Drosophila melanogaster: one gene and its partners. The protein of the gene in region 1 interacts with the protein of each later gene in a pairwise test. Each region holds a gene or a part of one and is shown on either strand. Other genes may lie near its edges. The genes, in order: bowl, Npc1b and CG13144.

The links.
Region 2: the proteins of bowl (region 1) and Npc1b interact in a two-hybrid assay, tested with the Drosophila melanogaster proteins (one large-scale study listed by BioGRID).
Region 3: the proteins of bowl (region 1) and CG13144 interact in a two-hybrid assay, tested with the Drosophila melanogaster proteins (one large-scale study listed by BioGRID).

Annotation. Positions count from the first base shown.
Region 1 is NT_033779.5:3,769,659-3,773,413, forward strand, and holds the start of bowl (brother of odd with entrails limited), read left to right. Parts: upstream 1-2,041; 5' UTR 2,042-2,215; intron 2,216-2,261; exon of another isoform or gene 2,262-2,357; intron 2,358-2,367; exon of another isoform or gene 2,368-2,658; intron 2,659-2,802; 5' UTR 2,803-3,036; intron 3,037-3,755. UniProt on the Drosophila melanogaster protein: Putative transcription factor. Required for leg joint formation, acting downstream of Notch to pattern the leg tarsal segments. Functions in the terminal pathway during embryogenesis, acting downstream of tll in the posterior of the embryo.
Region 2 is NC_004354.4:20,932,803-20,936,557, forward strand, and holds the start of Npc1b (Niemann-Pick type C-1b), read left to right. Parts: upstream 1-2,066; 5' UTR 2,067-2,150; coding exon 2,151-3,326; intron 3,327-3,480; coding exon 3,481-3,755. Other genes in the region: CG11227 (uncharacterized protein), read right to left, coding at 1-461, 519-681. UniProt on the Drosophila melanogaster protein: Important for cholesterol absorption at the midgut epithelium. Acts only in the early steps of sterol absorption, prior to Npc1a-dependent intracellular sterol trafficking.
Region 3 is NT_033779.5:10,489,645-10,493,399, forward strand, and holds CG13144 (uncharacterized protein), read right to left. Parts: upstream 1,811-3,755; 5' UTR 1,721-1,810; coding exon 845-1,720; 3' UTR 256-844; downstream 1-255. Other genes in the region: CG6144 (uncharacterized protein), read left to right, coding at 1-64; Myo31DF (myosin 31DF), read right to left, coding at 2,687-2,855, 2,913-3,070, 3,145-3,755.

The DNA of each region.
Region 1 (3,755 bases):
AACACACCAGCTACCTGCTGGGGCCAACGAAGCATTTCGAATGCGATCAATGAACCTGTTGCTTTTGGCCCTCTAGCTACAAACTACCAGCTGAACTCCGAGTTGGCCACATGTTTTACACAAATTTCAAGTAATTTATTTTAAAATCGTAAAGCGATGCAAAATATGCAAGGAGGGAAGCCACTTCAACCGACGGGCACTCAGAAAAATCACAACGATCTTATGGTTCGCATTAGCATATATATCTTATTTGTACATCTTTATTTTAAGCAAAAAGAGCAAGGTAAGGGTTAGATATTAGATATTATTATTAAACAATAGTCAATTTCAATTTTATGTATTGTGGAATCCAATTATAAGGGAGACCAATTATGGTAATTATTTATTTTATTTCTTATTTACTTATTGTTATTTATATATGCTGAAAATTATTTTCCGAGTGCAGCAAGAGCAACAGTTGTTGATGGGGGAAGTCGACGACGACTAGCATAACAATTCGCTCGCCCTATGAGGCAGCTACCGTTTTTCCGTCTTCTCTTTTCTACCACTTATTTCTGGTCTTCTGCCTGTTGCCGCTTTGTATCTCCATTTCCACTTACTGTTTTTGCAGTGGCAGCAGCCACAATTTAGTTCCACTGTGCAGCACCTTAATTACATGGCTACGGACTCTCTTTTGTTGGGTACTTTTCGGGTTTTTCTTTTCTGCATCTCGGAATCATTACGACCATGATCACCGTCGTGGCCGAAACGTAACTCCCTCTACTTTTGGGACCCTAGCTGATTTTTGGTCTTTTTGTTAACGTCTTTTCTTTTACCACTTGACCGCATTGATGCTGCATTGCGAGCAGAGGTTGCCAGATTGTTAGAATAGAAATTTTACAGTCTATTATAATAATATAAGACCTATTTACATAGCCTAGCTCGAATCAATCATTTACCTATGTTTTATTTTTTTCCAAGTTCCCGTGCTCGCCTTCTTTTATAAGGACTAATTACCATTAATAAAAGTCAGTCTGGCGATAAGATGGTTTCTAGACTTATATTGTTTTACGACCTATTTCCATAAATGAATTGTATAACTCGGCTGCCGATTAATCATCAGTGTATATTTAAATACATATGTATAAATATTTTTCCCTAAAGCTACCAACTAATTATTCCAAATAAATATTTACTTATCAGTAGAACATTGGAACTTGTCATAATATAGATATATAGTCGTGTGAGTAATGCACTTTATTTCACCCCAACTTTCGACTTGGCAACCCCTTCTTCGAAGAAACCTTATCACCTTGCCTCCCTAAAAATGCTTTCTGATTAGTCATTCCCCTAAATGAAACCGCAACAAAAGCCGAAGAACAAAATACACCCCCACTAAAAAGGCATAACAATAAACAGGGAACTACCAGAGTTACACCCTCCTCCTCCTTTTCGGGTGAAGCCACCATAACGATCCATGGGCAGCAGCAGCAACGGCAATCTGGCAACACCCGGGCCAATTGTACCCTACCCTCTCGACTGGGCCAAAAAAAAAAAAGCAGTCGGTGGTAGTCGGTAGTCGGTCGGTAAACAGGTAGCGCTCTAACTGACAATAACTCGTCGTACGAATGCACGTTCCACGCTCCGCCAGTGCCAGTCTCCATATAAGTCCGTCCACGGGCCCATCCGTCCATTTAGCAGCGTGCGACTGGCGGCCGGTTGGGTTTGGGTTGAGTTCGGTTTAATTCCTCTCCTCCACTGAAAGAAATGTCGTACTATATTCAAACTGAATATAAGTTACTAGTTAATTCAGAAAAATATGTAAATGCATCCATTATTTATCTAGTATATTTAAGCAGATAGATTTATACTGTTGTTATTTACAGAAAATTAGAGCCTTACTCTTCAGATATTTAAGAATTGTTAAAACTTTTTCCACAGTGCACTAAGCTGGTTTTAGTGCCACTGCTCGCTACTCGTCGCTTGTCTCTTTCTACGCATTTCTCAGCCCGCGATTCTCTCGATTCTCTCTTTTTCCATTCGGGCCCTGTTTCTTGGGTTCGTGGCTCAGTCTTCGAGAGTTGATCGTGGCCAACGCACCTGCGCGCGGATCGCTGGTAATAGCTGTTGGAAAAGTGAACTGCATTGTGAGTGCCTCTCGCTCTATATCTATCTGTATCTTTCGCCGCCGATGTATCTTATTGAGCGGGCCCAGAGCGCTAGTGTGTGTGTGTGTGTGAGTGAACTTGTTGCATCGCCAGTTGCCTCGAGAAAAGCGCTTTTCAACTGCAACTGACTCTGTGTGTGGGAAGAGTTTGGGACTACTTGAGGAGCGAATTGGTAGCTGCACTGGCTTCAGCTCCTATTTCAAACAAAATGTAGAAAAACACATTTCAGCTGCCGTGTATCTCTCGTTCTCGTTCGGTTTTCAGTTCGTTGAGGTTGAGGTTTCGGTTCGGGTTTTTCTTCGTTCGGTTTTCATATCTGTGAGATACAAATACATCGTGTGTTTGTGCGCGAGTTGTACGTGGATTTTGGAAGGAAAAAAACTACGTGGTTTGTGGTAGCTGACTGCCGTTGATGCTGCTGCTGCTCCCGTAACCGCCCCCCTGCCGCCCCCTCAGCCCCACCCCCTGGGGCGATCGTGCCGTGATTTGAATCTCAAAATTGTCCCTTAGTGTGCGTGTTTTTTTAAATACATTTACTTGAGAATGATTCGGTGAAATACTTGTTAAAATTAAAATCAAACCTGAAAATATAACAAAAAATTTCCGACAAATATTTTGAAAATTTTAATAAAATTATTTACTTTTAAATTCACAGAATCGTATTAACAGAAGTCTTCAAACAAATACAACAAGAAAAAACAACATACAATTCAAGTGCCACTTAAATGATATAAATTACTACTTTAAAAACCAAAAACAATGCCAAGCATTTCAAAGCTTACAAACTGACAAAAAACCAGCAAAATCATATTGAAACAACTACTTGGATACTTTAGGACGCAAAGATAAAGCCCAAAGAGCCTGGGGCTTTCTTCTGTTTAACCCACAGGTAAGATTCCGCCGAGAACAGGCCCTGCCTTCCCAGATGAACACAAAAATTCCACACCACTTATTTTTACTTGTTTTATTTTTTGTTGTTTTTTTTTTTGTTTTCTGTTTGTGGCGTAGGGCTAGCTAATTACGTTTATTATTTTTTTATTTTGGTATTTTTTGCGTTGGCCAAAAAGGCAGCGAGTACAAAAATATAACGAGTACGCAGACAGAGAAGGAGAGAGAGAGAAAGACCCAAGATATATCTCAAAACCTGCTCCACAAATAGAATGAGACGGGGCGAAAAAACAGGAAAGAGAGCGCAACAACGTTGGCGGTTGGCGGACTGTCGACCGACAAGCGGCTTCCACTACAACTGCATGTGCCACTGTCATTGCCACTGAACTCAGTGTGGTGCCGCACAGTCCACGGTGGAGTACGTCCCCCATCCCCCCGCAAACTTCCCCACCATCCTGAACCACCCGCTTGCCCCATTGTTGTTGCTGTGGCGCTCAGTTCGAGTTGGTCGGTTCGAGCCGGACTCGAAAAACCTTCGCTTGGAATTCTGGGGGTCTCTTATGGGTGCTCTTGGTAAGGGTACTTCGTTTGAAAATGGTGTACACAATTTGTAAAATATTATTTAAAAATATTAATCGGTGTTAATAACGTTACATTTCTGAAAAACTTTAATTTTACAGAATTTCAAAGCATCGCGTTAGGTTTTAAAAATATATTTTA
Region 2 (3,755 bases), on another chromosome or scaffold:
ATCAGGTTTTCTTGGAATCAATGTCGATTTAGAAGTATTTTCTATGATGTTTACCTTTTCGAGTGGATCGTAATCAGCTTCATTCGATATATTTCTTTCAGGAACCCATTCGGTCTCTTTACTCAACCGCTCATCAAGAGATTTCAATGAAGCCGGCTCTTCAGTGTCAGCATTTCTTTGGCGTTCCATAGAGAACAGCTCCAAGGAAGTTAGAGGAATTCCCAAGCACTCAAAATGAGTATTGCGCCTATACAAATTCACAAAGCCTATTCCTGGATGAGTGGTATCCTCTGAAGATTGCGATATTTCCTCTTCGATTTCGGTATTTTGATCGGTTTTCCCACCCACCTCACGCTCTGGTTTAGCTTCGACCATACGAGGCGCGGGAAGGCAGAGGTGGGTCTCGATTTCGTGGACCAACTTCAAATAACCGTTGGCAAGGTTTTTCAGAATGCCCAACTCTAAGTTATTGAAACAAAGTTGACTTGAACTATAGACTTATAAGATATAGAACATACTCTGCGGTGCCATTTCTGGACCCATTGCCTTACCGCCATCACCATCCTCCTCCTCAGCATCCTGACCATTCTCAAATTGGGAATCCGGAACTCCACGGTGATTCTGTTTTTTTTTAATACGCGCTAGGGTCTTTTTCTCCGAGTAGCAGAACTTTTTGGCCATTTCATTTAGACTAATTTAAAAACTGTACCTAAACATGAAATTTTACCAGACTTTCACATAGATCAAGCAAAAAAATTGCTTGCCATCTGATTGATAAAACGAACGAGATACGATTACAATTTTCTGCTTCGAATAAATATCGAATAAACACATAGGCAATTGTTTTAAAGAATTTTCCCAAAAATTTACTAACATCTGTAAATACTTTCCAACGAAGGCTTTTAATTTTAAGCTCTACACTTATGTACATATATGCCACGAATCATTTTCTGGGTTCCTCTTCCTAAATGATCACAATTAAATCAACATCTATTGAAATTGAATATATAAATTTACGTTGTGGAGAACTTGCCAAGACTCAAATATAAAATAGTATGTTTAATTACAATTACAAATGCGATTGGAGATTATTCAAATCTAATTTAGTTCCAGGAACGAAGCATTCGATTCCCGGAAACCAAACGTATGCCACTCGCTTGGCCAACAATTTTTTGGCTACTTCAGGTGGTTGGTATTTCTCAGTGAATCACTCATCCGGCGCAGATTAAGACCTTCGCGCCGAAGTTGCCGAGCAGTATAAACTTTACGGCAGTCGAGGGTCTCGAGAGGTCTTTTAACTTATCAACAAAGAAGGGAACAGGTGTTCCAGCCAAGAGCCGATCGCGATTTTATTGTGCCGTCGAGCTGAGCCAGCTGCTCTGGGGCCAATTCACCATACGATAAGCCCAAGATACAAGCTCAGGTGTCTGCACAGGTGCAGTTCCAGCGAAGTGTTAACGTGAAAAAGTTTGAATTAAGGATTATTGTGCACCTTTGCCAAGAGCAAATATAGTAAATGTTTGAGTAAAATAAAGGTAACGGCAATAGCGCTGAAAAACAGAATCAAAAAGATTCCACGAGCTACAGATACTAAGTTTCTTATCAACAGCGAATATTGGGGGAAGCCAATTACAAATCTAAGTGTAAAATCATTTCATTATTAAGTATTATTATAAAGCTTTGTGTCTGCATGAAAGACCTTCGAAGAGAGCTACTGTCTGGTTACTCTGCCATCCAAAGAAGTTAGCTGCAAGGGACTTAGATTCGGAATTGACCTCTAATATCTAATCGTTTTTCGATCACCTGTCGCTATGTGAACATATTAATCCGCGTGAAGATAAGGTCCCTCTGCATACCCATTAAGCCTGCTCCAACACAAAATCCAAATGAATTCAGAAGCTTATCACCTGGCGATAAGGACGGGGGAAAAAAATAGCGAAAGAAACTGGAAACGGGGGAAATCTAATCGATGGGTACTCAACCCGATTTCCGATATAGCCTGCCCACCTTTTAATGTGTTAATGGTCAGTGGATTGGGCTGGGTTTGATTCAGTTAGTGGCGTGCTGCCGGCGCGAATTGTTTTCACTCTCTACGAAGAGTAGAGTTCTATAGGCTTATTTGTTTATATTTTTTTTTTTTTAGTGTCGGAATGAAAGTGATTTTTGCAACTATATGGCTTATAGCCGGAGCTTGGTCGCAAAGCGCAGAGCAGTTGGGATGCATTTGGTATGGTCAGAGTCACATGATAGGTGCCCATTGGGTGAATAAGGGCGACACGAATCCAGCGAGACCTCTGAATAGCCCAACTTCAGAAGCCATATTCGCCAAGCGATGTCCAATGTTGTACAAGGAGTACAAAGGTGAAAGTGGGGAGGATGAGCTCAGTCTGTGCTGCGATGCGGCCCAAATCGAGACCATGGAATCTGGATTATCACAAGCAGATGGTGTCTTCTCCAGATGTCCCACCTGCACAAGAAACATGGCCTTGACCGTATGCGCCATGACCTGTGCCAAGAACCACACTCTCTTCTTGACCGCCTACAATGACACAAACGATGCAGGAGTGGACTATGTGAAATACATTGACTATCGACTTACAGATGATACGGTATCGAAGATCTACAACAGCTGCATTGGTATACAGCACACGCAAACCGGACGTCCTGCCATGGATCTGGGCTGTGGCAGCTACAATGCCAAGACCTGCAACTACCGGAGATGGTACGAGTTCATGGGCGACGTTTCCGGCGACTACGTGCCGTTCCAGATCAACTACAAATGGTCGGAGGACGCGGAGGAGGGTTCCAATGAGATATACCTCGATCTGAGCCCCCTGAAGTGCGGCGAGAGTTACGAGGACAGCTACGCGTGCGCCTGCATCGATTGCGAGGAGTCCTGCCCGTTGACCGATGCTCCTACGGGTCCCGACGAGCTGTGGAAGATCGCAGGATTGTATGGAGTCACCTTTATTCTGGCATTAATCATCGCCTGCGCCCTTTCGTTCTTTATTTTCTGGGGTGCTTTTGGCAAGACATCGGCTCCTAGTGTCTGCATGCCCACCCTCTTCGGCGAGTTTTTCTACCATGGCTTCCGCATCTGGGGCACCTTTTGTGCCAAACACCCGGTCATAGTTCTGGCACTCTGTTCCTGGGCCATCGCCGGACTGTCCTTCGGCATTCGGTACATGACCATCACTACGGATCCTGTGGAACTATGGGCAGGCGAGGAAAGTCAGACGAGGATCGAGAAGGACTATTTCGATCAGCACTTCGGCCCGTTCTATCGCACCAACCAGATGTTCGTAAAGGCCGTCAATCAGACATATGTAAGTAGCAATAAACTAGGCTGTTAAAATGTCAGTTTAAGTAAAAAGGTCATTTGAAATCGCAACAATAATAGACACTAAAATTGTCCAGTTTTGTGTAACTTGTTTAAAAGCCCTCCTAAAAATCTATCAAAATCTTCGATACTCTTTACAGTTCACCCACGAAACTTCCAATGGTGTCCTGAACTTTGGTCCAGCCTTCGAGTATAACTTCCTAAAGGAAGTCTTCGAGCTGCAGGACTCTATTATGAAATTGGGTATGGCGGATAATGAGGGCCTCGATAAGATCTGCTATGCCCCTGTCTTAATGGCTGGTGAAACGCCCACAGTCGATCGCTGCGCAATCCAGTCGGTTTATGGATATTTCCAGCACGATATGGATCGTTTTGAGAACTCTTATGTCGATAGCAATAACTATACCATTAACTA
Region 3 (3,755 bases), 6.7 Mb from region 1:
GCGCATCTCCCTCACCATCCGTAATGTGCCCAAGACCAGCAAGATGAAGCTCAAGTTCTGCTAGGTTCATTCCGCCATTCGATGTTCTTTGGCATTAAAGATTACAGATTACACAGATGTTGACTAGCTGCACGTTAAACGAACCCACTGAAGAGATCCCTGGGATCCAAAAAGAACTATGATAATCTGCAACCTGAATCTTCCGCTAGATGTTAAAGCACTCCGCACTAGCAGCACACTTGTTCGCAAGCAAATCCATGTTGGCCCACACAAAAGTGCTTTATTTATACCGCTAGCATTGTGTACATATATATAAATGTTTGTATTACGTATTACGGAGCAATAAGTTGTCCTGATCGGCGGACAGGCTCGAGCTGTATCCTCAGATTCCACCTGACCGCCGGCGGCCTTTAGATTTAGTTGTGCGAGCAGTTGTTGCAGGAATCCATGGCCTAGATTTGTGAAATATGTGGTTAACTTTGTATATGGGCATGTGCGACAACTGATTTTGATTATGATTGTCCTAATGCTTTGTACAATAGAATCTACACAGAATTTATGTAAAATCTTTCTGATTGAAAATGTTCCTTACGTTAACTACTAAGCAAATCAATTGCAGCCAAAGAAATCATAATGATGATCAGTTGACGAGATACCCCTTATATGTATGTTGAATGGAGCAGCCAGCACACTGGTTACCATAGTCGTGTGCTCCATGCTCCGGCCTCCTGTGTCCAAGTGTATTTTTGTAACCGTTTTTTCCACCGCGCACCGCAAAAAAGAGCGAAGAATTGCCAATAAACGTTATTGTCCACCTAACTCATCCTTTAAACCATTTAATCCACTAGGCCTCCTCATCCAGCCACTCCAGCCGGAACTCGCGCTCAAAGACCAGGCGATCGTACAGCCGCACCTCGCTAATCCTCGCCGAGATGTCCAGCCGCAGTTCGCTGACCGCCAGGTGGAAATTCTGACGCACCGTTCGCTGTTTGTCCGGTGTCAATTGATTGAGAGGTTTGCGAAAGATGCTGATGATGCGCTGCAGATGGTATTCCACGCTGGCACAGCGACCGATGCAAACCCACAAGTTCTCCGGATCGTGAATGTTACCCGGGAAGCGGGTGCGTTGATCGAAGGGCGCCTTGCCGGACAGCAGAGCTCTCACCTCGGCCACGATCTCCTGGTGCGTCCTCAGATCGCGTGTGCTGAGGGTGGTGAACTCATACTTGTCGCAAAAGTACATGAGCTCGGAGATGGCCACCCACGACTGGGAGCAGAGTGTGGCATGGTGATTCGACCAGTTGGTGTAGCCAGCTGGACTGGAGGTCTTGGTAGCCACGGCAGCGGTTGACGAGGAACTTGCATTGGGAGTCGGTGAAGTGCTCGTTGGACTGCCTGTCTTGGGCTTGGGCGTATCCGAACCATTTATGATGGACCTTCTTTCTGTGCGCTGCAGCTGCTCCATTTCCCGCTCGTGCTCCTTGGCCCTTAAATAGGCCTCCTTCTTCTGCTGCAACTCCTGAAGCTTGGTCATCTTTGGTGGCGACAACGACTTTGTGAAGATCGAGGGCGGTGGCGGCGCAGGAGCAGCCTGGTCGCCGTCTGTGTGTGCAATTGGTGTGCCGTTTGTGTCCAGCGATGCACTGCGTCCGTACTTGGCCCTATAGCGCTCCAGCGTGTCCAGCGAGAAGCTGAGCTCCTTCTTGATGGCCTTCTGCATGGTTCTGGTTTTCTGGCTTTATGTAATCACCTTGGGTGCTTCGATGCTCCGAATTGCACGCGTTCCCTTCGAGAATTTACAGGCGAATGCGAGCGCACATTCCGCATAAAGAGAGGCCGATCTCTTTATTTTTATCTTTTATCAATCGGCGGCGAGCCATGTGCACTTTATTTCGGTCTCTGCCAATACATTTTGATCGCATTCGCATACGAATGCGTACGGATTTTACGTTTGGATTTAAAGCAGCATTTGAAAAAGATTCACAGATGCAGAAACTCACAGATATTCAAATGCCGAACGCACATTTTGGGGGAATTCATGACGAAATGACCGAAATTTTGAATGGGTTCAATTCAGATCAAGGTTGGGATAGGGAACTTATGCACATTATGCTTATGTTTGGTAAGTTAACTTCTCTTTAACTTATTGATATAAAAAAATAGTCATTAACCAGCTTTCTCAAGTACAAAGTTTACATCTTTTATTTCATATATTATTTCAATAATATTTGCAAATGGCACACATATGTTTGTGATCTTTCGCTTTAAGTACAAACATTTTACTGATCGTTACAAATGGTTTCTTGTGTGCTGTGAATCATATTTGAAGAAATGCACAAAGTACATTTAATACTTTTCGTTCTTTTCGTCGGCCAGCTCAACCGGCGGAGGTGGTATTCCTCTCACATGGATGTTAAATAAATATCGCCTTAACGCATACGCATAATAGAAAAATGTACAAAATTACAATCATGTCGTCACACACAGAACAGATAAACAGATAGGACTAACTATAGAATGACGTATTAAAAACTACAAAGCGGGTGTTTGGCGGAAGGCACGGTATACACAGAGTCGTCATGTCCTTGGTGGGACACATGGGTCACAAGTAGAAAAGAGGGTGATGAGCCCAGTCTTAAAACTAGGTTCCATAATTTACAATACAGTTGGGCGGAGTTGATTCCGCCTAAACGCAGTACGCCGCCGGCACCTCGAAAATGATGTTGCCCTCTTTAGGACGGAAGTTGGGGACCTCCACATTGGACGCCGCCTCCACGGTAATAATGCGTGCCTTGCCGTCTAGGCGACAGGAAATATTGGTGGTCACATTCACACGCAACTCGGTTCCAGTGAGGCTGGAAAGGATTTGATATTAATATCTGGTGAACATACTAAATGGGCGTTCCACTTACTCATGGTATTTCTTGCACACAATGCCCACCACTTCGCCAATGCGATCTTCCTTGAGGGGCGTGTACTCGCTCTCCAGGGAAAACACTAAATCCTTGTTTTTCGACGAGTGGAAGACGATTAGTTGATCCCGGCCGGGTGAGACACTAATGGACGTCAACTGTAAGCGAAGTCAAGATACGGAATTAATATTATAATATAATAATATAATATATTATTATACTATCTACTAACCTCCCTAATTTTAATGGTGCGTTTCATGTCCTTAAATTTATTCTTGATACCGTCCAGTTTGTGGATGGTCGAATCGGAAACGATGAAGGCGCGATTAGCCTGCTTGTTGAAATGGTTGAACTTCTTGACGAATGAGGAGAAGAGCACTTGCTGGAAGGTCTCGCCGTCGGCGGGGTGGTTCCTTATGTTCTTTATGCTTCCGTTGTAGGCTTCATATCCGCTGTTCTCCTGCGAGTTGGCCAGATAATCACCCACCCAGCGGCGCGCTTGACCCCAATAGGGTCGTCTTCCGGCCAGCGCAGTGGCGGCGATAATCTGCAGACGTAATTGCGGCCACTCGCTGCGAGGATATTTGTGCAGGATCATGTTGGCTCGCCAGAAATCGAACATACGATGCAGTTTAGCCTCCACCTTACGTCCGGCGAGCGGCGGCTGTGGCCACTGGATGCTCTTGCCGTAGTCGCGCATCTGCTTGGCTTTCCGTAAGCGATTGGCCAGCTCCTGGACGTAGCTACGCAGTTTGTAGGCCTTATAGGCGCGCACGATCGTAATTGCCGCCTTCATCTTCTTAAAGTTTCTCCTCACAATCCATCCACGCACTCGCTTTTGCA